Drosophila melanogaster: one gene and its partners. The protein of the gene in region 2 purifies or fractionates together with the protein of the main gene of each other region. This does not show direct contact. Each region holds a gene or a part of one and is shown on either strand. Other genes may lie near its edges.

Region 1 (7,920 bases), on a different chromosome or scaffold from region 2:
TTTCTGTGTGTCTGTTGTCTGGCTTCGTTTTTGGATTCGTGGCTAAGATCTAATACTAATAGTTAGTCGCTATTTAGTACGTATCGCATTCAACATGACTCATTCATTGGTAATCACTTACAGCAGAGTTAATTGGTTTTTTTTTTCAGTGTTGCGGTTAGTTAGGCGTTTCTTTTTTTTTTGCTGCATTTAGCGTTTTGCTGTTTGCTTTTGATCGTCAACTCTTCACGGTTTATTTAAAACTTAAAGAATTACAATAGTTTAGTACTTAGAATTTATTTTGGTTTTACATGCGCTGCGCATCGTTTGTTGCTGTGCTATGTGCCATTAGGTAGACAATTTGTTTGAGTGTATTATGCATTAATATTAGATACAGGTTTATATATTTGCATACTTTATAATTATATAACACTATGTTATAAAAATGTACATGGTTTTGGTTTTGCTACAGTTTTAGTTTAAGTTTTAGTCGATTTTAGTACGTACAACTCTTGCAAGTAATCATTTGCTGGTTTAAAAAAACGCGTTTAAGTAGTCGTAAAAATGATCAATCCATATTTATATATATTACAAAAACAACTTGAAGCTTTCTTTTTATCAAAAGTATCAATTGTGTAGATCGTTATGTTAATTTTTTTTTAATCTTCTAGTTTGGCGCATAAAGCTGTGTTGCGTTTAGCGTAGATTTCTCATTTCGATTTGCCTTAAATACTTTTTGTTTTGCGTTAAAAAATGCAAATTTTGTAAAATTAATTTCTTAGTTATGTTTTTCGTTATTCCTTTTTTTTTTAAAGTTTTATACAATCTCACTGTTTAGTTTAGTTTAGTTTAACAAACAAAAGCAGCGCTTTCAACTTAAATAATTTAAAAAATAAACAATGGTTAACATTCATCAATAAAAACAAGCTAAAATGATTAGATCATTTAGTTAATTAAAAGTAAATAAATTTTTAAAGCCAAAACAAACGAGATCCTGCTCGTGTGCAAATAATTGAGAAATGACTAAATTTCGTATTGGTCCTTTGTCATTTCCGCTACGAGTCGAAATTTTGAAAAACGTTCTTTCACGTAAAAATAAATAATTTTGTGTTGTTTTGAGTTCGAATAAAATAGATGTATAATTTATAAAAATAATTTAAGTTTTGCGCGTAGACATGAGTTTACCTTTTTCTTTTTGTTTTGCTGCTTTCAGTAACATTTACAAACAATTTAAGGAAGTAATAAAAATAATATTGCCACAAAGTATATGAGTAAAAATATTTTCTCTCTCTTTATAAATAATATATGTGTGTTGTGTGTAGTTTTGGGTGTGTGTGTGTTTGTGTGTGTGTCTGTATAGCGCCGCGCGTAAGTGAGTGTGCGCTATGGAGTCACCATATAAAATCTCATAGAATAACAAAATATTATATACGATATACATAGGTGTATAAAAAATAAAAATTGCAAAACATCTACATAACCAAATAGTAATAAGAATCAAAAATCGATTGCAATAACTTAAACATTCTACGAACTGTATGCTAATTTAGTACAAATCTGTTTCTGCTTCTGCTTCTGTGTTAACCGAACTGAAGGTATGTATCTAATTTAGTAATTTAATCTAGCAGCACTGCGAAGAGATTTGCCAGTCGTTGGTTGCAGTTGTTGCATCCGCTGCAGTTGCATAACTCCCGTCTACGTGAGTGTGTCTCGTCTTTGAAATGGTCTTTCATTTATGGTTTGCTCATCCCGTTTCCGCTGCAGTTCGTCCTAAGCCGATGCCGCAGCCGCCGCAGATGGCTTCTTGGGATCTGTATCCGTGTCGGCGGACAACGGCGGCGGCGCACCAGGACCAGAAGGATTTGGAGGATGAGTAGGAGGAGGAGGAGCGGCTGGGGCAGGAACGGGTAACTGGCGGCCACCGCCCGGCCTTCCCTAGAGCGGATGCAGCTTGGTCGTGTGCACAGTGAGGGCGCTGCGCTGCGTGAAGCGCTTGTCGCAATACGGACAGGTGTACGGCTTCTCGCCGGTGTGCGTCCGTATGTGCTTGGTCAGATAGTCCTTCACGCTGAAGGACTTCTCGCAGTAACCGCAGTGGAACGGCTTCTCTCCTGCAAAACAGCCACGATTGGCGAAACGGAGAAAGTTGGGATACTCGGTTAGCACATGTCGCTAGCACTTAGCCAGTTTGCTTGGTGCGTGCAGTACCAAAGGTTTGATTGATTGATTGATTGACTGAGAGTGGTGGATGTGTGGGTAGAGTAGATATGTATGCATATCAAATAGGTTTTGCACGTAATCAAACTATATATATATATTGATTATATATTAAATGTGTGTATATATTTGGTTGGTGTTTGTTAAAATGCATTCGAGAAATATTATTACGTAATGAGATGAGGCGGCGGGCGATACGGATTTGGATTATCATATTGCTTGGCTACCCTCACAGAAAGCTTTTGCTGAAAAATAGTTGATGATCTTTTCATATTTTCTCGTTCTGTGAGGGTATGTAAACTGTGACTCATACGATTCGTTATTTGTCGCTAATCGAAGGCGGCAAAAATTCAAGGCCCCGAATGTCACTTGCTGGAAATCGAATAGAAACTCGAACTAGACGCTTGATTATAATCTAAAATTAAGCTTTTGCAATGCAATCAAGATGAAAGATCTTAATATAGAAGCACACATAATCGAAACGTTATATTATTCATTTAATTGCACACTGATTTCACATTAATCATCTCAATTTCTCACTAATTACTATAATTCGATTATTTAGACTGTAATTAACGGAGAATATAATCTAGCAAGTGACATCCTGGCCAGATCTGAATCTTGGCCATTAGGTTGGGGATTTTTGCCGCCTTTTTTGGGCGTGGTTTTCTGCGCAGCCGCTGCGGCGGCTCGAGTCTGATGATCGAGCTTCGGCAGGACGACTGGCAGAGGTGAGAGAGATTGATATTGGTACTGATTGATCGAGATTGATTGATAGAGATTGAGCGAGTTTGTGTATGGCAAATGGAAATGGACTTGCATACAGAGGTTTCTCTTTTTTGAGTATTGCTGTTTTTTTTTTTTTTGCTCATCACGCTGAGGTGACAATTTACTGATCGATTGATTGGTTGATTGAAAAGTCGATTGATTGGTTGAGTTGATTGAGAGCTGATTGACTGACTGAATTGATTTGAAAAATATTGCTTCTCACCCGTGTGAGTCGTTAAATGTTTGTTCAGGTAATCCTTAACAGTGAACGCCCTGCCACAATAGCCACATCTAAATGGTTTCTCACCTGTATGTATGCGAGTGTGCTGTTTTAGTGTATTCGATTGAGTGAAGGACTTGCCGCAGTAGGAGCACGTGTAGGGGCGTTCTTTGGGCGTGGCGCTGTCGGAGTTGCGGTTCGGAGAGTGGAGATTCGAGAGTTAACAATTATTTATATTCATATTCACAAAATACCGCGCAGAAACGGAGAGGAAAAAGATACAGAGAGAGAGAGAGAGAGAGAGTGGGCGCGGGAGAAAAGAAAGAAATTTAAATTATATTATTAGTAACACTCGATTTAAAAATAAGTTGCAAAACAAACGACACACGAACGCATGGGCCTCGTCCCAGAGCTTCGAGGGCGCGCCCATGCGCCCAGCTGGCCCGAAGGAAATCAAAAATAATATATATATATATATATATACAAGGTGGTAAGATTATTGGGGTTAGTTCGGCGATCACGCCGCCCCAGTCGCAAAGGAAGACCCACAAAAAACTACGTGGGTATCCCCCCCTTTGAGCTAGAGCGGGCAATGCCTTGGAATGAATAACAGGTAATCCGGCAATGAGCTAGGAAGCATTCTTATCTTAAAGCATTGCAACTGAAAGCTTTCCTGGATGCAAAGACACTTAATCTTGTTGAGATTACACTGCGATCTATACTATATCTATCAATATTTTATAAATTCTTCTTTGCACGACAATATCCCATCACTTCTAACTAACTAACAAACTAACTACTATCATTAAAATATCTATAAGATCATCAAATGCCAGTTACTCGACTAGAGCTTTTAAAGTCGCTGTCCAGTAGCTATCATTGCCGGAATACCCAGTCCGTAAGATGCATATAAAATGGATTTACTCTGCTTCGCCTGTGTGTATCTTGCGGTGCATGGCCAGCGTGCCGGGCGTCTTGAAGGTCTTTGGACAATCCGGACATTTGTGCCGGATCTTGTGCGCCAGATCGGCAGGTACCGTTTGTGTGCCGACTAGCACACCCGAACTGGCCGGAGCGGGTACACCGGGATTGGCTTGTATGGCATAGACAGGCACAGAGTTGACAACATCACCACTGTCGCTCAGGCTGAGTGGCTCCTCCTTGATAATGACCTGCGGATGCGACACAATGGCGCCACCGTTGGCGTTCTTGTTTAGCTTGACGGTGAGTGGTGGCACCTTCAGCGCCACCTGGTCGCCGGCGAGATCCTGATCCTGCTGGTGATGGTGCACCTGCTGCTGTTGCGCCTGCTCCTGCATTTCACGCTGCTGCTGCTCCAGCAGTTCCTGCTGCTGCTGCTGCTGCTGTTGTTGTTGTTGGTGCTGTTGCTGATGGTGGTGCTCCGCCTGCAGTTGCTGCTGATGGTGCTGCTCCTCGGGCGTCAGTCTCATATCACGGGGCGCCATTGCCGGCAGCTGATCGTCGGGCGTCACCGCCGCCTCCTGCTGTTCCATAAAGCCCTGCTGTCCGGCAGCCAGCATGGCGGTGGTGCAAATGGAGCCGCACTGCGTGCATTTGTACTCGTTGGGCTGCTGGGTGGCCGAGTGGATGCCATAGATGCTGCACATAAGGCAGCGGGACAGGAAGGCGGGCGTCTGATGGGCCAGCCGATGGTGTTCGTCTAAATCGACGGCGTTGCCAAACTTTTCATCACAATTGAAGCAGGGGTGGCTGAGCTTGGGGTGCTGCTGTGCCTGCGGATGACCGCCGTCCAGCGTGGCAATGGCTCCCTGGGCGTTCAGCGTGATCCCGTGGCACAGCTGCATGTGATCCGCGACGTGCTGCGGTCGCTCAAACTGCTGGTGACACATGGGACAATAGTGCGGCGACACGTGCACATTGGGGTCCATGCTGAGATTGGGCAGAAAGGCTGTCTTCAGGGTGTCCATGTTGGCTATCACGGTGGCCACTTGGTGCGTGGGCGTGGCTGGGGCGGCGGTGGAGGTGGTGGCTGAGGAGGGGGGCGGCGGCGGCGGCGCTGGCGACTGATCCTCGGGGCGTGGCAGACGCTGTTCCTGTGGATTCGTGGTGGACTTTATCATTTCACTTCCGCTGGCGCTTGGAGAGTAATCGCTTCTTTTGGTTTGACTTGGTTAGTGGGCAGGAGCAGGAGCAATTGGCGGTTAAAGAAGGCGATATGCGCTGCAGGAGTAATAAAAATCATAATTACAGGCGGCCACAAGCGAATGTATGTGCAAGCGTGTGGGTGTGTGCTGGTGTGTATGTGTGTGTGTGTTCTTTGAGTCTGGCAGTCGCAAATTAGCAGGAACGAATTCGGAAATCACAAATTCACGAAATCTTCAGTCCCGATCTTCTGCATTTGACCCCCAATGTCCCCCCACAGCGGCTGGCGAAGAAGAGGAAGAAGGAGGAGGAGATGAAGAAGAAGAGGAGCGGGCAGCAGCAGCGGCAATGCGTTCGAATTGAAAATTTTTTTCAGTCTGTCATATTCTAAATTCGGAATTCTATTTTGATTGCTTTTTCGGTCTCTCGTTTTGTTTCCATCTTTCTTACCAGCGCACTGAATATTTACTGCACCTTGTTGTTGCTGGCGGCCGTTCGATTTTGTTGTATTTGGAGCGGGGGTCACGAAAATGCTGGGGCGGCCAATCAGTTTAATAACATTTTCTCCTTTGTACAACAAATAAACGTATATTAACAAAAAAAATTTTTCACTTTTATTATTATTTTTGGCGAAAAATGTACAACTACAACAAAAAGTATCGATTACTGGCATCGAAACTACGATGGCAACGTCGCTCTAGAACTGACGATGTGGCAACGCCCTTGCTAACGATATATTTTTCTGCCTTTTCCTAAAATATGACAAATAAAACGTTTTCTAAGTATGCAAATTAAAGTATAATATAACTTTAACTTAACGTTATAAAAATTGTAAGCAAAGCTTTCGATATTAGGAGTTCTTCTATTTCCAAATTTATCGGGTCTATCGTTCTGCGATAGCTCGATACTTTCATAAGCTGATAATTTCACAACAATTGGAAAAAGGATTGTTTGGAGAAATACAATAGAAATATTATTGCAACAAGGGTTGCAATTGGCTTCCCCTTATATTGGTCATCTATAGTGCCAAAACTGTCACTTGTCCTCCACCGCGGACATATCAGAGTCCACCTGCAACCCGCCGTTGGTCAGGATTTGGACAGAGGCTTGTTTGTAAACTGCCACAATTACCACCGATATAGAACTCGATCTTCTCAAGCCAAGTTCCAATAGGTTTGTGGAATCACAGCACCAAATTGTGATCTATATTGACTCTCTTTCGATTGTGCAGAATGTCGTCGCCATGGGTTAAGACCAGCGAGCCTGTGCAGCAGGTGAATCTGGCGGATATAATGTCGGAGCAATATGCCCACAAGTTGCACGACAAGGAGCTGCAGCGCCACACGGAGAAGCTGAAAAGACCGGACGAACAGATAGCACCCGTTTGGGGGTCGCAAGCCTCATCCCCGCCAGCGCCCAATGCGCAGAGTATCCAAAGTGATGCGGAGGATTGGGAGGATTACTCTGCGCTCCTCAATGACGAAGGAAACGTAGCGGAGGACATTCAGCTGCCGGAAGACAGCGATGCAGTTATTGCCCAGCTGTTGCAGTCCCAGTTCGATCACGAGTACAATGAGGAATTGCGTCGTATCGAGCGGCAGCAAAACAAGCAATCCAAGGTCACTGTTACCCTCAATAAGTTCCTACGTGATGGCGATGCAGAGTTCTTGCACGACACCGCGGAAGATGACTACGAAGAGGATGAATTGGAGCAACAGAAGCACGACTGGGATCGGTTCGAGGACAATGAACGGCAGCTTGACTCCATACCTCGCTGCGGCTTTAAAGTTAACAAGGAGGGCGAGATGATAACAAAGCACGATCCGCAGCTGTGCGCCGTGCGTAATGCCCAGCGCGTGATGTCCTTTCCGCCGGAGTTTCCCACCGGTGATGCTGCCGGTTTCGACATGAAGCTCTCCAATAAGGTTAGAAGCGGTCAGTTTTAAGCGATAATAAGACTTAAACGTACCTTTCAGGTGTTTAACCAACTACGAGCCCATTCTCGACGAGGCCGCTCCGACAAGCACGAGAAAGTGGCCACCGCGGAGATGGGATTGGATGCGGGTACACGTTTGCTGCTGTACAAGCTGATCAATAACCAAATACTGGAGCAGATCAACGGCATTATATCCACGGGCAAGGAGGCGGTCATCTTGCACGCCAATTCCGATGCGAACTATACGGGCAGCAACGAGCATGGTCACCAGAGTGGTGTGCTCGTTCCACCGCAGCTTTTGCCCCGGGAGTGTGCCATTAAAATCTTTAAAACCACGCTCAACGAGTTCAAGCAGCGCGATAGATACATCAAGGATGACTATCGGTTCAAGGATCGCTTTAGCAAACAAAACCACCGAGTGATTATCAATATGTGGGCCGAGAAGGAGATGCATAATCTGATGAGGATGCAAGCCATTGGCCTAAACGTTCCAGACGTTGTTGTGCTGAAGAAGCACGTGCTGGTAATGCGGTTCATCGGTGACAATCATAACGCTGCGCCCAAGTTAAAGGATGCCCGTCTGAGCGACGCGGAGCTGAGTTGCGCCTACGAAGAGATTGTGGCCGCGATGCACAAGTTGTACAATGAGGCGAAGCTGGTGCACGCCGATATGAGC
Region 2 (4,139 bases):
AAGAGTTTCCGTGTTACTGACGACTTAGCAGCAGACATTAGACCAATAAACCCAGTTAGACTCTTTTCTTTGGCGACTCCAGCAAGCTTGGCCCTAACTAATTAAGCAACAGTTTTCGGCACCTGGTTTATGCATAGTTTGGCGAAACCTCAAAAGTTTGCAGCCAAAAGTTGAGCACAAACATTTATGTTGGCGAAAAGTTCTGTGAGCAGTTGGGCTCCAGTTAAGACTGTCGCTGCTCCTTGTATTTCCGACTTCAGTCCTCCAGAAGTCATTCCTCGCAACCTCTCTTCGTGTGGAAAATCCATCTGGGTTTGTGAAAATGTGACAGAAGAGCATGCGGGGGGATAGATGCACAGATACAGATACAGATACAGATACAGATACAGATACCCGTACTGGGGGATTGCCATGGCAGCTGTTAGAGAATAAAAGTTGGCCGGCAAGTGCCTGATTGACATTCGTCGAGGCCTAATTAAAAAAGTTTCCCCACCACGCATTCCTGCTGCTCCTGTGACGTTCGACTTGGGTTCGATTCACATGGGTTATTGGTTTTTATTGTACGTACAACCGATTGTTTTGGCCACTTTACGCGCTGGCAAGCGAGTCAAGCAGTACAAATTCCGAGTCAAATCAAATAAAAATAGCAATAATAATAAAAAAAGAAGGCGTTGCCGCTCGTTTCCGGTCTTTTCTCGTCTCTTTCTCTTGTTTTCTCTATCTATGTTAAAACTTCTTCATCAACTAAATGTAATTTAAAGATACTTTTCACTGAACTGCGTCCTCACCCTTGGCGCCGGCGCCTGGTCGGATGTCTTACGCTGGAGACAAACACCAGGGCCGCGCTCGAGGAGATGTTGATCTGGTTTGGGTGGCTTGGATGCTTAGAAGCACTTGCGGTGGACGATGCCGGGACCGGACTCGTCATACTCCTGCTTGGAGATCCACATCTGCTGGAAGGTGGACAACGAAGCCAGGATGGAGCCACCGATCCAGACGGAGTACTTGCGCTCTGGCGGGGCGATGATCTTGATCTTGATGGTGGACGGGGCAAGTGCGGTGATTTCCTTTTGCATACGGTCAGCGATACCTGAAGAGGACAGAAATAGAATCCATTAGTGGTGCTACAGAACCGAGGAGCTTTGGTGTACTCATTACATGACATTTTAATAATAGCATGCATGAATATGAGATATAGGGAAAGGATATAACCCATTAGGTGAATTCTTTTTTTTTTTTTTGTAATACTACTTTCCATAAGATTTTTTTTAACTGTTATTACAAAGCTCAGCTAAATATTTAGGCTTTATTATTTAAAGATTTCCTCTCTGCCAAATGAATGTATAAAGTAACACTTGTTTTTTTTTTTAAGTATCCCGCATAGTTTTGATCCCATTCCCTCGGAAGAATTTCCTCTGAACTTTATGGTCCTAATTAATTAAGACTACGCACCTGGATACATGGTAGTGCCGCCAGACAGCACATTGTTGGCATACAGATCCTTGCGGATGTCCACGTCGCACTTCATGATGGACTGGTAGACGGTCTCGTGGATGCCGCAGGACTCCATGCCCAGGAACGATGGCTGGAAGAGGGCCTCCGGGGTGCGGAAGCGCTCGTTGCCGATGGTGATTACCTGGCCATCGGGCAGCTCGTAAGACTTCTCCAGGGAGGTGGAGGCGGCGGCAGTGGCCATCTCCTGCTCGAAGTCCAGGGCGACGTAGCACAGCTTCTCCTTGATGTCGCGCACAATCTCGCGCTCGGCGGTGGTGGTGAAGCTGTAGCCGCGCTCGGTGAGGATCTTCATCAGGTAGTCGGTTAGATCGCGACCGGCCAGATCTAGACGAAGGATGGCGTGGGGCAGGGCATAGCCCTCATAGATGGGCACGGTGTGGGAGACACCGTCACCGGAGTCCAGGACGATACCGGTGGTACGGCCGGAGGCGTACAGGGAGAGCACGGCCTGGATGGCCACGTACATGGCCGGGGAGTTGAACGTCTCGAACATGATCTGGGTCATCTTCTCGCGGTTGGCCTTGGGGTTCAAGGGAGCCTCGGTCAGCAGAACGGGGTGCTCCTCGGGGGCCACACGCAGCTCGTTGTAGAAGGTGTGGTGCCAGACCTTCTCCATGTCATCCCAGTTGGTGATAATGCCGTGTTCGATGGGGTACTTCAGCGACAGGATACCGCGCTTGCTCTGCGCCTCGTCGCCCACGTAGCAGTCCTTCTGACCCATACCCACCATCACGCCCTGGTGACGGGGACGGCCTACGATCGAGGGGAATACGGCGCGGGGCGCGTCGTCTCCGGCGAATCCGGCCTTGCACATGCCGGAGCCGTTGTCTACGACCAGGGCTGATGCTTCTTCGTCACACATGTTTGGTTAGTTTGGTGCGGGCGGCACTACAAGGATACAGACAGATCGGTTATCCCTTATGCGGGTTACGGATTTCGGATGGGCGGACAAGACTACACTCACGACGTGTAAATCCAACAGCGACAGCGATCAGAGTGATTCGTTATGCGCTCCGGCAGCTGCATTTAAATAAGTTCTGTCCCGCCCCGCCGGCCCCACGCCCATGTCCCTGTCATCTCGAACAATTGTTCATCTAGTAACATGTTGATGAATTCCGCGATATGCAACGCTGGCTGGGGATCAGGCGTTTCCGGGGAGGGTGGTCGGATGCACATCATTTCGATTTCACAAAAGTGTTCTGATTTCGGGTATTACGCCTACGGCAACAAGTTGGATTACGAATTAAAGAACCCTAGTTAAGCCACAACTTAGAGCAACTAAATTGGTACTAGATTTCAATATAAAATAAGTTGTTTTGTAAGTTGTAAGTCTTGTTATATTGTTAGAATTTTAATCCGCACACACTTATAAGCTTGTGAAATTTGGGAAAATAAATAATTTATTGGAACGCTGGGCTTAGGCTAGATAGTTTTGATATTTATATATTGTTTTAGAATGGCAATAGTCATAAATATACATACATAATATAAATATTTATATTTATTTTATATATTGTTTTAGAATGGCAATAGTCCCAAATATACACAATAGATATATTTTTTTGACAAATAGCAAAATTGGGTATTCCAATTACTTTTAATTTAAGCATCAAATGACAGAATGTGTTAAGCCAAAGCTAACAAATGGATTTATCTAACGAGCTTCGATTTAAGCTCTGACAATAGGCTCTCCGTTTTTTGATAGAATAATTTATTTCCATCAGGCCCTAAGTCGTATTAGTCAGAGCATTATCGGGATTTTGCGTTCGTTCAGAGTATTCAATTTGCTCCATTCCCAAATACCATTTATCACTTAGTTTCATTTCGTTTTCGCTAAATTATGTCTGGCTGCCAACTTTGCTATGACTTCGACAAAGAACAGAGGAGAGAACATATCGAAATATGCGCCAGGACTTGTATAGGCATCTGTAGATATATTTTTAAGTTTTTATATAAATAAACCCCCGCAAAACGGCGGCGCAGCAACAAGAACAACCCGTGAACAATGCAATGTAGTGGCCAGCCTTTCCCCCAAGTTCTTTATCTTGGTCTTGTAGGCAGCTTTTCCCTGCTCGAGTAAGAGAAATTGGTGCCAATGCTCTTCTGGGCCCCCACTCAGTCCATAGATGGTGTGGCCCGAATGTTGTCACACTCAAAAATGCAGCCAAAGCACTTGCGTTTATACATCTTATAAATGTTGACGCTGTCGTGTGGATTTCATTGAAATCAAATTGAAAAAATAGAATCAAATAATTTTGTACGGCTATGCACGGCACATAGCCCTGTGAGCCCAAAGGAAAGTGGTTGGGGGGTTTGGCGCAGCGGTGCATGCGGCCAACAGCAATTTTGCGCCTGTCCACCGATATCGCTCGATCTCATCGTGGCATTAGCCATAAGATTAATGCCCGATATTCTAATTAAGTGTGCCCCATCCGAGGAGGTGCATGCACTCTGCTTTTACTGCAGCGAGTGCATTCCCCAAAGGAGCAAACTTCTGAGCTCCAACTTTGGCCCGTTAACTTTGCCAAGTGCTCGCCAACTGCGGAGCATTACGTGACCACCTTGCGGATCAGGTACGGACACCAACCACGTATCATTGGTCGTACGCGCGTCGAGTAGTTGAA
Region 3 (4,922 bases), on a different chromosome or scaffold from region 2:
AAAGAAAAGCTTCTGGCCAAGGTTGAGTGGATTAGGATTAATATTTAGAAGATCAGTCTGAATCGGGACGAGATCGTGAACAGTTTTAAATTTAAGACAAGAGATAAAAAGAATGTCTTGTAATAGTATAAGTGAAAAGGTCTATCATGAATAAAATATTAAATTATAATAAAATAAAAATTTTTTGTTCAAATAATTAAAAAGGAACACTTTTAATTTGCACAAAGATTAATATTGTAAACCATTAACAATGAATATAGATTTCAGTGATTTCATAGCTTAGCGATTGGAGATCCAAGCGAACACTCGAAAACCGTGTTGTCTGAACACTCTGAAATATTTTCCCTACGACCAAGTGAAGTTGAGGTTGCCATTTGGAGTCCACAAGAGTCCCATAGGCATTTAGAGAGATTTAAAGCTCGGCTTAACTTAGCCTAATATAATTTCGGTTAATGATCAACATAACCTAGCTGTAACCTGCCGTCAGAGTGGGCGTGGCAAAGAGTTTTGTGGCCAATCCATAGAAATTTTAAAGCCTAATAAAAATATGAAAAAATGAGTGTGCGTCTTTATCTCTAGAACCTGTATGGTTAATTTCAACCTTCTAGCTTTTATAGTTCCTGAGATCTCGACGTTCATACGGACAGATGGACATGTCCGCTACTGATCCTGATTAAGAATATATATACTTTATATAGTCGGAAACGCTACCTTCTGGCTGTTACATACTTTTCAACGAGTCTAGTATACCCTAGTATACCCAATTTCTTAGCAATATGATAAAATAAAATAATAATTACGAATTTACACCTTGAATATATCACCTAAAGTACGATATTGCAACAAAACGACTTTAATTAAATATATAAACTAGGTTATATAGCGAAACTTTCAAAAAATAGAGAAGCTCGGCGTATAGTCAGCTTTAATCAAACGGATAATAAAATAAAATAATAAAATTTTAAATTAAAACATAACTTTTCCAAAAAGAAGTCATTACATTGAGGAAAAGATATTTCACAAAAATAATAAGTAGTAGAAAATAAATATTTATAAAATGAATAAAAATATGAAAACTTTTTATTGCAAAAGTCATATCTTGAGACACGAACACGTTTATTGCAACAATGATTGCCTTATTAATTTTTCACAAGGGGCAAGTGAACGCCCTAATAACCTTTGTTCTAATATAGTCATCTTTGAAATTTATTTTGTGATATTATGTACATATATATTCAAATAATAATATAGTTAAGGCAAAGAAACTAGACACTAGGGTCTTTGGTTAAGGCCATGCAAGCCAAGAATTTTTTACATGTTGCCAATTAAACAAAGATAATACAGATGTAAAGTCTATGAACTTGTAAATTGTCAAATTTACAATGCATTACCATACAGTTGTCGGCTGTCACTGTATGCGTAGAAAAGAACTGCTGAGCCACCTCTGGAGCCATCCCGATAAAATTGTGTGCAAAAAATTGTATGGCGTTACGCATCTTGTTCTTCAAATGTCTTTGGCTTAACCTCATATAAGCTGCAATGACCACTTGACCGGTTCCATGTGACCTCATTTTAACGGATTATAAAACTACATCATAAATATGGCGCAACATTTAAATTGCCAGACTTGAGATTGTTACATAAATCTGATCCGCAGCAATTGTAAATGTTATTTTTATTGTATTTGTGCGCTTGCAAATTTGATTAATCCTATCCAAATACCCTTTCAGTAATTACAAAAACATATATGTCTACTTAGCACCCATAGTGTTAAAAAACGAAACTTTTATTTATATTCTATTTTGGGTGTTTAATTTTCAAGCAGTTCTTAATGCAGCTATATGATATAGTCGTCCCATATTAAATAAAATTAAAATAAAATGTATATATTGTTAAAATATCGGATTTCGGATAGTTCCGAAGATATGTATAAAAATGGCTTTATGTATTCAATGCAATGGAATATAAACTTAAATTTTTTGTATAAAATATACGTAAATTTTTAAGGTATTTTAATTCACTATAGGATACGTTTAATAAGCCTAAGTCCTTTTCTACTCACCATACATATACCGAACGACAAAATCGACACGGTTATCCCAGGAATAAGCCATTATGACGGAATTTGTTTGGAGCTTATCCTCATAAAATGTAAATAGCTAAAAGTAGAAATACCATTACTATCTGAACTAATAAAAGTCTATAAATAAATTAAAATTTTTTGGTATCTATAAATAGTACTTTTAGGTAAAAAGTTCTTGAATAGTAAATATGAGCTCCTTACCTTCGGAATAGCTTACTTCAGACTAACTAAATTTGCTAAACCTTTTGCCAAAAGTCGTACACTTTGGCAACATTATTTACATGGTATGTATCTAAACATTATACATACAAATGTGTATTGTATAGAAAGTGCATTTGTATATATTTGTTCTCTTTCAAAAGGTAGTTTATTTTTAATTAGGAGTTTCCATTGTACTAAATGTAATTATTGTATTAAGTAAACTATAGCACTGTTTTGAAATCACAATCAATAACAATTCAGTTTTCTACTACCAAATATTAAGCCTACCTGTTACAATGTTATTCGTGAAAGTTTCCATATAGATTATGCTCTAATTAACCATTTAAAATGGAAAAAAAGCGAACAATTCACCCCTATTTAATTTTGTATTTGAACACTAATAGTAAAATATATCAAAAATCATTTTAACATTTAAAGAATTGATAATTAATTGACATGATTATTAATAGAAAAATATTTACTATTTTTGCAAGCTTACACACATGTATATTCACAAGTATATATTTATAGTACATGCATAACCTATTATAAAGCACACATTTTATAAAACTCACAATTCTTATTTTCGGTTTTATGTACATATACATATACATATATAGGAGATACAATATTCAACATTCAAATGTACAGTTTTATGTCTTATTACCATTGTGATCGGCGGTCTATAGTTGTCTATTACTGTTAAGATATAATATTATATAAAAACAATATATATACATATAAGAAAATATATATATGTTTTTATGCCCCATACGTGTAGAGTAAAATTAGATTCGTTGATTCTACGTGTAACGGGTATAATAATATAAAACAAGAGAGAAGGCTATAGTCGAGTTCCCTGATTATCAGATACCAGTAACTAAGCTAGGGTCAATGCTAACGCGAAAGTTCATAATTTTTCTGGAAAATCGATTGATATCGATTGATTGATTGATATTAGAAAAAAAATAAAATGAAAAAAAAATAAAAAATTGTTAAAAAAGTGTGGGCGTGACCGGTTTGGTGGCTTTAGGGCGTTTGAGTGGGCGTGGCAAAAAGTTTTTTGGCAAATCAATAGAAATATACACGACCAATAAAATTATGAAAAATATCTAACAATTTTTCAAAAGTGCGGGGGTGACCGGCTTGTCGGCTTTGGGGCGTTTGAGTAGGCGTGGCAAAATTTTTTTTTGCAAATCGATACATTGATCCTGATCATGAATATATATACATTTTATTGTCGGAAGCGCTTTCTTCTGCCTGTTTCAACCAATCTAGTATACCCTTTTACTCTATGAGTAACGAGCATTAAAAGAGTTGGACTATAAACTTAAGTGAGAACATCGTCTTTATAAGCTGCGAGTCTTTAGCTGTCGGCTGTGCTGTCCTTATTGGCAGAGGATCGACGTCGGCTTCTTGGAATCACAAGCGCTGGTGGGAGCGGAAACAATTGCCAAACACATTTTGGGAAATCTGCTTGGTGGCGCTGAGCTTGCATATTTGGGGTTTGTTACTCTATTACATTCTGTTGTAGACCGATGTTGAATTCATTGTTATTAACTTTAACTTTCTAATTTATGTAGGGAATGTTATTGAACTGAGGTAGCTGATGTTAACTTTTGTTTCCATTCCCGGTATAGGTCTAAGCTGCAAGTTTATGCTTCTCTTCCTTTGACTATAGGTGTGAAGGCCCAGGATGATAATCAGAGTATTGTCGAAGAGCGTCAGTAGGGTTATGCTGTTGGCCTTTTATGTATATGCAACGGTTCAGTGTTTCAAGAGATATAACCTCAGTCTTTCTTTTTCTTCATCTGTAAATTGTACAAGAGGCGAACTAGGAGACAGGGCTGTAGGTTCCAAGTTGGCGAATCCCCCTGTTGTCGATAATCATCGAGTCGTTTGATAGCTAAACAAAGTAGGTGAAGCTCTGTGAGGATCCAGGATATGATTCCATCGTAATCGTTTAATAGGATGATTCCGTCGTCGACCTCTTCCATTCTGGATAAGTTGTCGGAGTTGCTAAAACTACACAGATCTTTCTTTCCCAGAACTAAATTTGGAGAGCAATCAACTAATTTAATTAATTAATTTCTTATATTTACAATTTTTTTCTCATCGCATATTTATATATGTATATATAGGTAAGATTTTCGAAAGCAAAGATTTCTTGAAAGTCTAAGTTGTTGTAGTTCTGTTGTTTTTAACTATTGGTTTTACAATGATATCTTAGTATTTCTATAAAGTTTGCGACTTTTACGATGTACAAATGTGTTGTCTTATTATGTAGAATAGAGACCTCGGAAAACGCCATAGCTTCTTTCATCGATAGTAATAACATGTTGTTTCCCTTAAATATTCTTTCTATTTCAATTAATTCATCTTCATTTAGTACTAGTGTGTTACGACCTCTTGTCGCGCCCACTGGATGGCAGTTTCTACTTTTAGGAGTCTAATCTGGGTTTGTAAACTAAGAGCAATTTCTAAACGAACGGAACTGCCCTTTTGTATAGAAATTGTTAGAGCTTTAGATACTGTAGTCAGTTTGTTTATTCTTTCTTGTTTGTAAACAATGACTTGTTGGTTATTGTTGTCAATGAGCTCTGCTCTATTATGACCAGGTCATCGTGATCTGGAGTGG
Region 4 (7,424 bases), on a different chromosome or scaffold from region 2:
GTAAGATGGCCCGCAGGCGTCAGTTTTGGCATTGCCTAATAAGGTATGGATCGCATTCAACGCCTCTTAGCGTTTCTGGTAAGTCTCCGCACAATAGGGTTTCCCCTCACGACCGTGCACCATAATTGATTTCATATATCTTATCTTATCTTATCTTATGCCCTTGAACAAGCTTAACGCTTTGCCATATTTTTTTTATTTTTATATATATTTATTTAATTTTTATATTTATTTCATATTTGGATTTTTTAAATATTTAGTTGTCACATCTGGCACATCACACCCGTGAACTATCTTGTCACCGTGGTGCGTATCAGCCTATTGTATTTTATTATTTGGACTTTTTGTTCACATTTTATAGTTTTTTCTCATCACCGCGGTGCACCGGTCGCAAGCATTTTCCCCTTTTTTTCATTCTCCATCCTCGTGATGAGCGAACTGTTCGGGCGCCAATCTAAGCAGTCGAAAATACTACTTGGAGTTGGAATCCTTGCAGGGAGTTGCATGCTTTCGGTTTTCACCATATGAAAAATGAATACTTCAAGGTCTTAGTTTCTTTTATTTCTATAATTAAGTACAATTTTATAATTTGATAAAAAAAAAAATCGAAAATCGAACGAGTGGCCAGCGCTTCGCCAGCCGCTCGTAAGCTCAGCGGCCCAACGCTTAGCCAAACACAAGGTCCGTATGCCCTTTCATCATCGGTACGCTGCAGAGCTCCAGAGTCGTTAGCCTGTCTTCCGGTGCTGATGCTGCGCTAGCTGACACCGACATTCCCGGCGGTGGAGGTAGAGTAGATAATGACCCACTTGCAGAACAATGACTTCAGCTGCAATTTGGTCAGCTAGAGGTGGTGGGAGGGGAAAGCACGTGCTGCCTATCCTCTAAATGTATGTCCTAGTCATGTGAATACCAAAGCTTTTCCCATCTGTTGTTTTGGTCTTTGCGTCAAACACCACCCGAAGCTTAGTGATAAGACTATCCTCTCTTATAAATGCTTAATGAGGAATTTAATATTGGCCTGTATCATTTTCATTGTATCGCTCTAGTTGCTTTAATGTTTTACCTTTCAATTCTCCAGATTTATTAATCGGACAATATCTTTTTTATAATTCTCTTAAGGCATTGTTTATCACTTCGTGCTTTTTGACTAAAAACAATCCTTGTCGTTTTTACGCATAATTCCTTAAAATTATCCGTCTTCCAGCTAATTTTTCTAAATTGACTGGCGAGTGAATCCGTTAATCCGCTTGGACTTCAATCTGCGATGTACCAAAAATTTCTTAACGCTCCGTACTCGTCCACCTCCCTTACAGAAACGTTAAATTCCGAGCAGCCAAGAGTCTGAAGCAAAGGGGGGAAACAAATGGCTCGTTGAGTCAGACTGATAGCAACAAAGAAAATGCAGTTCGACTAAAGTGGCGCAAGCAGTCCAAGGCCTCTAACAACACGGCCAACGTGACTATAAACTATAAACTAAACTATACAAAACTAAACTATACTATTTGCGTGGAACCGATAGAGATTTATTCCATTTGGCAGGACTACTTAAAGTAACTTAAAAGGGTTTTAAAAAAATGCGTAAGAATAAAATATTTTACGTTTTCATACGATCAATTTACTTATTTACTTTAGACAAAATAATATAATATAATTTTTTCTCATGTCATTCAATTTTGATTGCATTGTTTAAATTAAAATACTTATTTCGATGTACTCTTTTGATATTGTTTTAGTCGTCGCCACCGGTCATTACTTCCATAAATTCTATAAAATAATATATGTTATAAAATAGCAAAGCGTTTGTAATTCAGCTGTATGATTTATATACCATCAAAATCAACAGTACCCGATCCATCGGAATCAATTTCCTCAATCATCATGTCCAGGTCGTCATTTGTCAATTTATCGTCTAGTTCGCGCAGGATTTCACGAAGAACACCAGTAGTTATATATCCATTTCCTTCTTTGTCGTAAAGGCGGAAAGCTTCCTTCAATTCAGCCATCATAGCTTCAGCGTCCTCTTCCACAAGGAAGCGGGCTGCCAGGGTGGTAAATTCTTCAAATTCGATTTGGCCCGAACCATCCTCATCGACTTCAGCGATAATGTCAGCAAGAGTTGCATCATCAAGTTGATGACCCAACATGCTAAGTATCGTACCCACCATAGCTGTGTTGATATATCCATTTTTTTCAGGGTCAAAAGCATTAAATGCATTACGTAGTACTATAAGGAAATGCTTTTTAGTTAAGAAATCAGTAAATGGGTTATAAGCTTACATGCAGTTTGCTCCTTAGTCAATTCATCCTAAGAAAAATAAGGGTGTTTATTTAGAAATATACAATATAGGCATAATACTAAAATACAATTTCATTTAATATATTTATGCGTCATGACTTTAACTGTGTTTGAATTCTTAATTGTTAACTGCCTGATGTGTGGTTTGATGTCAATCTAATGCCAGTGATTAGTTTTTATTTCACGTAAGGTCAACGATAGTTTTGGAAATCGATTGGAATGCAAAGCGGCTTTCCTCCTCCAATATTCGCCATTTTTAAAGCCGCCTTGTGGTGTGTACATAGCTGAATTGCTAAAATTGTCCCTTCCAAAGGAGGTCCTACCTTGCTTGATTTTATAAAATTGTAAAATTCAAGGTTAAAGCCAAGAATTGCATGATGGGTCACACTAATAGCAACGAAAGAAAATCGCCAATAAACGAGTCTATTCCGGTAAGTGGAAAAGTTATTGGAAAAGTTAATAAACCGGGGGCGAAATATTTCATTCAGTACAAACATTTAGCCAACACCAACAAAAACTCTAGTCGGCTAAGACAAGTCCTAAGCCGGGCACACTGCCCTATCGTTATATGATCGACAGCTTTTATGCGGTAGTGAGAGTTGACGACAGACGAACGGTGGGAAAACAAATCATTTTTTTTAATTAAAAAATTAACTTAATAATAATTCTCATTATTTTGGAGAGGTGATAGGCTTACCAAGATTTATATATCATTAAAATAAACAGTACCCGAAGTCCCCAATCATCATGTCTACTTTAATTTTAAGATTTGTCTTCCAAAGCCGATAACATTAAAAAGGAAAATATTAAATTTTCTTGCGTGAGTGACATTTTATTTTTTGAAGTGTTCTGATGATTTTCGACCGAAAAGTACGGTGGTGAAGGAGTTTGAAGCTAAGATGAAAAATATGAAAGAGGGATCGTGGGAATTAAACTTCCCCGACGAACACCCTTACTCTTAAGCGGCTTAGAAGTCCAAATTGAAATTTTGCCCCACTTCAAACGAAAGCTCACTACTTTACGATCTTCAGCGAGTTAAGCCAGTCTTAACACGCTGAGTGCTTAGGCTCTGTGCGAAAGTCTTATGCAAGCCTCTACTTTACCCTTTATATATATGGGAGGAGTCCGTGATACCTCTTCATAAACAAATATATGTAAGCAATTACAGAGGGATCTCTAAAAGATCGGATATCCGTAGGCTTCAAAAACATGATAAATTGCTATTTCTCAGCTGGAAGTGTGAACGAGACATTTTTGGACATAGGGAGAAATTAGAGAATATAATGAGAAAAATGGGCGGCTTGTGGGCGTCAGAGTGGGCGTGCAAAACAATTTTTCTATCAACCCGTTACTCGTAGGATAAAAGTGTTAACTAGATTTCCAGACAGGCAGACCATATAAAGTATATATATTCTTGATCAGCATCAAAAGCCGAGTTGATATTTCCATGTCCGTCTGTCCGTATTCAGCGTCTCGATTTCAGCTTTCTGAAATTAAGCTTACAGATTCTAGAGACATATACGGAAGGCAAGTTCATTGACTCATGCTGCCACGATCACTCTAACGACCACAAATCGCAGAAAATTGCCCACACTTTTTAAAAATGTTTTGATATTTTTAAATTTTTTTGTTTGTAAATTTCTATCGATTTGCAAAAAAACTTTTATGTCTTTTAAATTTGTATCGATTTTCCAAAAATCTTTTTGCCGCGCCCACTCTAACGCCATAATACCGCAGAAAACTGGGAGAACCCCACTATAGCATTCTCTCTTCTTCTATTTCTTAGTAAGATGTTCTCAAGTTAGCTCCACTTATCTGCACTAATCTTGACCCACTTAACTTGTTAACTAGAGCACTTTCTTTACCTTTTCTTTCTAAATATGAATCTCTGTTTTAGAAAAGTAACAAATTCAATAAACCCCATCTTTGATATTTTTGTAGAAAGAAGCTTTTTCGTCCCTAAAAAGAATATAGGTATAAGCATAATCAGTATCAGGACCACTACCCGAGTCAATCTGGTCGTCAGTTGGTCAGCTATTCTGATCATATACACGCGATTTTGGGATCCATAAAAGCTAGAAAATAGAAACGACGGATTCAGAAGAATCTTTAAGGCTACTTTCAAATTAACCACGGATTTCGATATTTATACCCATTACTCGTAGAGGGTTTACTAGATTTGTTGAAAAGTATGTAACAGGCAGAAGAAAGAGTTTTCGACTATATAACGTAAATATATTCTTGATCAGGAACAATAGCCGAGTCGATCTGGCCACGTCCGTCTGTCCGTATGAACGTCGAGATCTCAGGAACTATAAAAGCTAGAAGGTCTTGTAAATTTCTATAGATTTGCCAAAAAACTTTTTGCCACGCCACTCAAACGCCCTAAAGCCGCCAAATCGGTCACGCCCACACTTTTCTTTATTTTTTTCTCATTTTACTCCCCAATATCTGTCGATATCCCAGAAAAATAATGCAATTCGCGTTCGCGAACTCGACTATAGCATTCTCTCTTGTTATACCTTAGATAGGCAGGAAGATGGACATGACCTGGTCGATTCGACTAGTGATCAAGAATGGGTGTATATAGATGTAAATGTACCTGTACATGCGGACAGACGGACTGACTGACAGACGGACCAAAAACGTAAGATTCCTTAAAGTAAAAATGTAGTATTTGCAAATCAAATACATGTGTGAGCTGTTTAATGATGTTTAAAGAAATATTAGTTGAATGTACAATATGTTTATTCTCTGACTTAATTGAAAAGTTATCGAGCAAACATTGCTGGAACGTGGGCGTTAAGCATTAACTCTCTATATAAAACGTTATATCGTTACTTATTTTATTTGAACTGATTGCACCCTGAAAAACGTTCAGTATTGAGATCATCTGAAATAATTTTGACTCCTTTAATCTTGAAATTTTAACTCGAAGTAGCTTGGAAACTTATACTGGGATTATTTTTTTTGCCGATTAACTTACGCTCATTTTTTTAGCTCTTTGGATTAATCTCTAATATTAAAAAATTGAACACTCCGTTAATTAAAAGCTAAATAAACAATTGAAGACGAGAAATAAACTTGGTATTGACGCGATTAAAACACATATGGGCTATGTGTCTTCTGTGGATGCATCTCAACATTCAGGAACATTTTAGACTTAATACGATGATAGCTCTGCAACTATTTTTGTTGAAACAAAAACAACAATTAAAACCAAATAAAAAAGACAACATAAATATTCCGTATGTCATGTAACTCAAAGATAATTTTATCCACAAGACAGAAAAATACTCAGAGTTTTATTTTTAGATACACAATATTCATCAAAATTCTTTATTTTTATAAACCGTACATTGCATTAGATCTTGGAACGTATTATAAAATGGTATTTGTGAACAAAAATTGCAATTCAAAAACAAGAGCGAACGCTATAATTTTGTTTCTCGCCCTTCTGATACTCAGCGTGTGGGAGTGTAAGGGAAATGGAGACACAAAAAACAAAATTAGAAAACACTCTTCACGAGATTACTCACAATTGCAACCTGGTAGCGGTTACATTTATTGTGGACGTGGCCAATCTTTTTGGGCATACTTATAGAAATTGGTCAAAAAAATTATGAATAGAATAAAAATATAACATTTCCTAAGCTTATACACCCTCGCAGTTATTATATATAAAAAATCATGAAAAAATCATATTATGAAACATAAAACAACGGAATATATTTTTTATACCCTTGACTACAAGATTCGTTATTAAATATGTAACAGGCAGAAGGTTGATTTTCCGATCCTATAAAGTATATACATTTTTGATCAGAAAGTTTCAAAAATCGGTCCCGCTCTCACTAGCTGAATAGCGGATCTATTGCTTTATTTGCTTATCTTCTGGCCAATTTATGTTTGAATACATTTCGAAAATGCTCCCCGTAAGTGGTGCAAAATCTAAAAAAATTATTATATTTACATTAAGAACCTATGTACACTTAAAACCAAAAGCACTTATCTATAAGACAAAAACTTGAGTAACCAAGAGCTAGAGGAGACTTCTCCGACACAATAAAGACCACTCTGGTTTTAAACTCGAAAGAGCTCAGTATGCCCCCTTTGGGAATACCGATAACTATATCCAAACTCATCAGCTTCCCCCTTTGGACACACTGATAACTTGGGCGCTGCCCGAGTTAACAGAAAAACGTTTTTTTGGACCGATTCAATGCGGTCCGAGTGAACGACGTATTGAGGACTCCAGACAGGTGGCCATTACTCAAAAATCAGACGGACTAAGGTTTTGGTCGTGTAAGGATCATAAAATTCCTTTGGCCACCTTTTTATAAAGCCAAGCACACCCCTGGCCTTATTTAATATTCGAAATATGGTCTAAAATTTAAGTTTAGGTCCAGAAAAACACCAAGATCATCAACCCGTTTTATTCTGTCTAAAGAGCGACCCTTTAAGTGCAAGTTGTGTGTATTGGTTGATACGGCAAAAGGTCATAACTTTACACTTGGAGCCATTTAAGTTTAGTACGTTATCACGGCACCATATTTGAAAGATATCTAGATCGGATTGTAAGTTCAAACTGGACTTATGATATGAATTCGTATCTTCGTAACAGAACAAGACGATCAATTCTTTCTACGATAGAAAAGGCGTTTGATTCCCTTGGATTGATAAGTCCAACTCTAAGTCGGTGGCAATATTTTTTCTGAATACTAAAATAAGACAGTCTGGCCTATGGCCTTCGATTTCAAAAACTGTGGAACAAGCCCGTTGTGAAGAATCAAATTTTTTTATTATATAATATCATATTCATTTTCGAGTGTGACAGGGACAGCTATGGCTAAGGGAGGAATATGAGTAACAAATGAACGAGTCCGTGTATTAACTGTGATCATGTCGCATGCGAGTATTCCGGGCATTGCCGCAGAGTTTTCCCATCAGTGTTAACTACTATTATGCCGTCTCCGAGTATTACGGGCATTTTCGTAGAGTTTCTCAGCAGTGTTACCTGCAACGGTGCCGCCTGCGTGTAGCCGGCCCCGTGTGCATTAGCTTGCCACCAGTATAGCTGTAATTATGCCGTCTGCGAGTATTTCCGGCATGGTCGCAGAGCTTT

What was found.
Region 1: the proteins of Act79B (region 2) and Cf2 purify together in Drosophila melanogaster (affinity purification with mass spectrometry, with the first as the bait; one large-scale study listed by BioGRID). This does not show direct contact.
Region 3: the proteins of Act79B (region 2) and Scp1 purify together in Drosophila melanogaster (affinity purification with mass spectrometry, with the first as the bait; one large-scale study listed by BioGRID). This does not show direct contact.
Region 4: the proteins of Act79B (region 2) and TpnC41C purify together in Drosophila melanogaster (affinity purification with mass spectrometry, with the first as the bait; one large-scale study listed by BioGRID). This does not show direct contact.

The regions. Positions count from the first base shown.
Region 1 is NT_033779.5:4,877,107-4,885,026, forward strand, and holds Cf2 (chorion factor 2), read right to left. Parts: upstream 6,002-7,920; 5' UTR 5,783-6,001; exon of another isoform or gene 5,759-5,782; intron 5,696-5,758; exon of another isoform or gene 5,387-5,695; 5' UTR 5,287-5,386; coding exon 4,109-5,286; intron 3,367-4,108; coding exon 3,188-3,366; intron 2,091-3,187; coding exon 1,915-2,090; coding exon of another isoform or gene 1,750-1,914; 3' UTR 4-1,749; downstream 1-3. Other genes in the region: CG3008 (uncharacterized protein), read left to right, coding at 6,541-7,233, 7,285-7,920. UniProt on the Drosophila melanogaster protein: Transcriptional regulator; binds to the promoter region of Cp15. Also binds to its own promoter, thus having a probable autoregulatory role.
Region 2 is NT_037436.4:21,983,589-21,987,727, reverse strand, and holds Act79B (actin 79B), read right to left. Parts: upstream 2,519-4,139; 5' UTR 2,480-2,518; exon of another isoform or gene 2,404-2,479; 5' UTR 2,378-2,403; coding exon 1,453-2,377; intron 1,091-1,452; coding exon 885-1,090; 3' UTR 538-884; downstream 1-537. UniProt on the Drosophila melanogaster protein: Actins are highly conserved proteins that are involved in various types of cell motility and are ubiquitously expressed in all eukaryotic cells.
Region 3 is NT_033778.4:2,965,033-2,969,954, forward strand, and holds the start of Scp1 (sarcoplasmic calcium-binding protein 1), read right to left. Parts: upstream 3,021-4,922; 5' UTR 2,952-3,020; intron 2,313-2,951; exon of another isoform or gene 2,285-2,312; intron 2,160-2,284; 5' UTR 2,115-2,159; coding exon 2,063-2,114; intron 1-2,062.
Region 4 is NT_033778.4:5,064,697-5,072,120, forward strand, and holds TpnC41C (troponin C at 41C), read right to left. Parts: upstream 5,515-7,424; 5' UTR 5,292-5,514; coding exon 5,286-5,291; intron 2,309-5,285; coding exon 2,281-2,308; intron 2,228-2,280; coding exon 1,832-2,227; intron 1,768-1,831; coding exon 1,733-1,767; 3' UTR 541-1,732; downstream 1-540.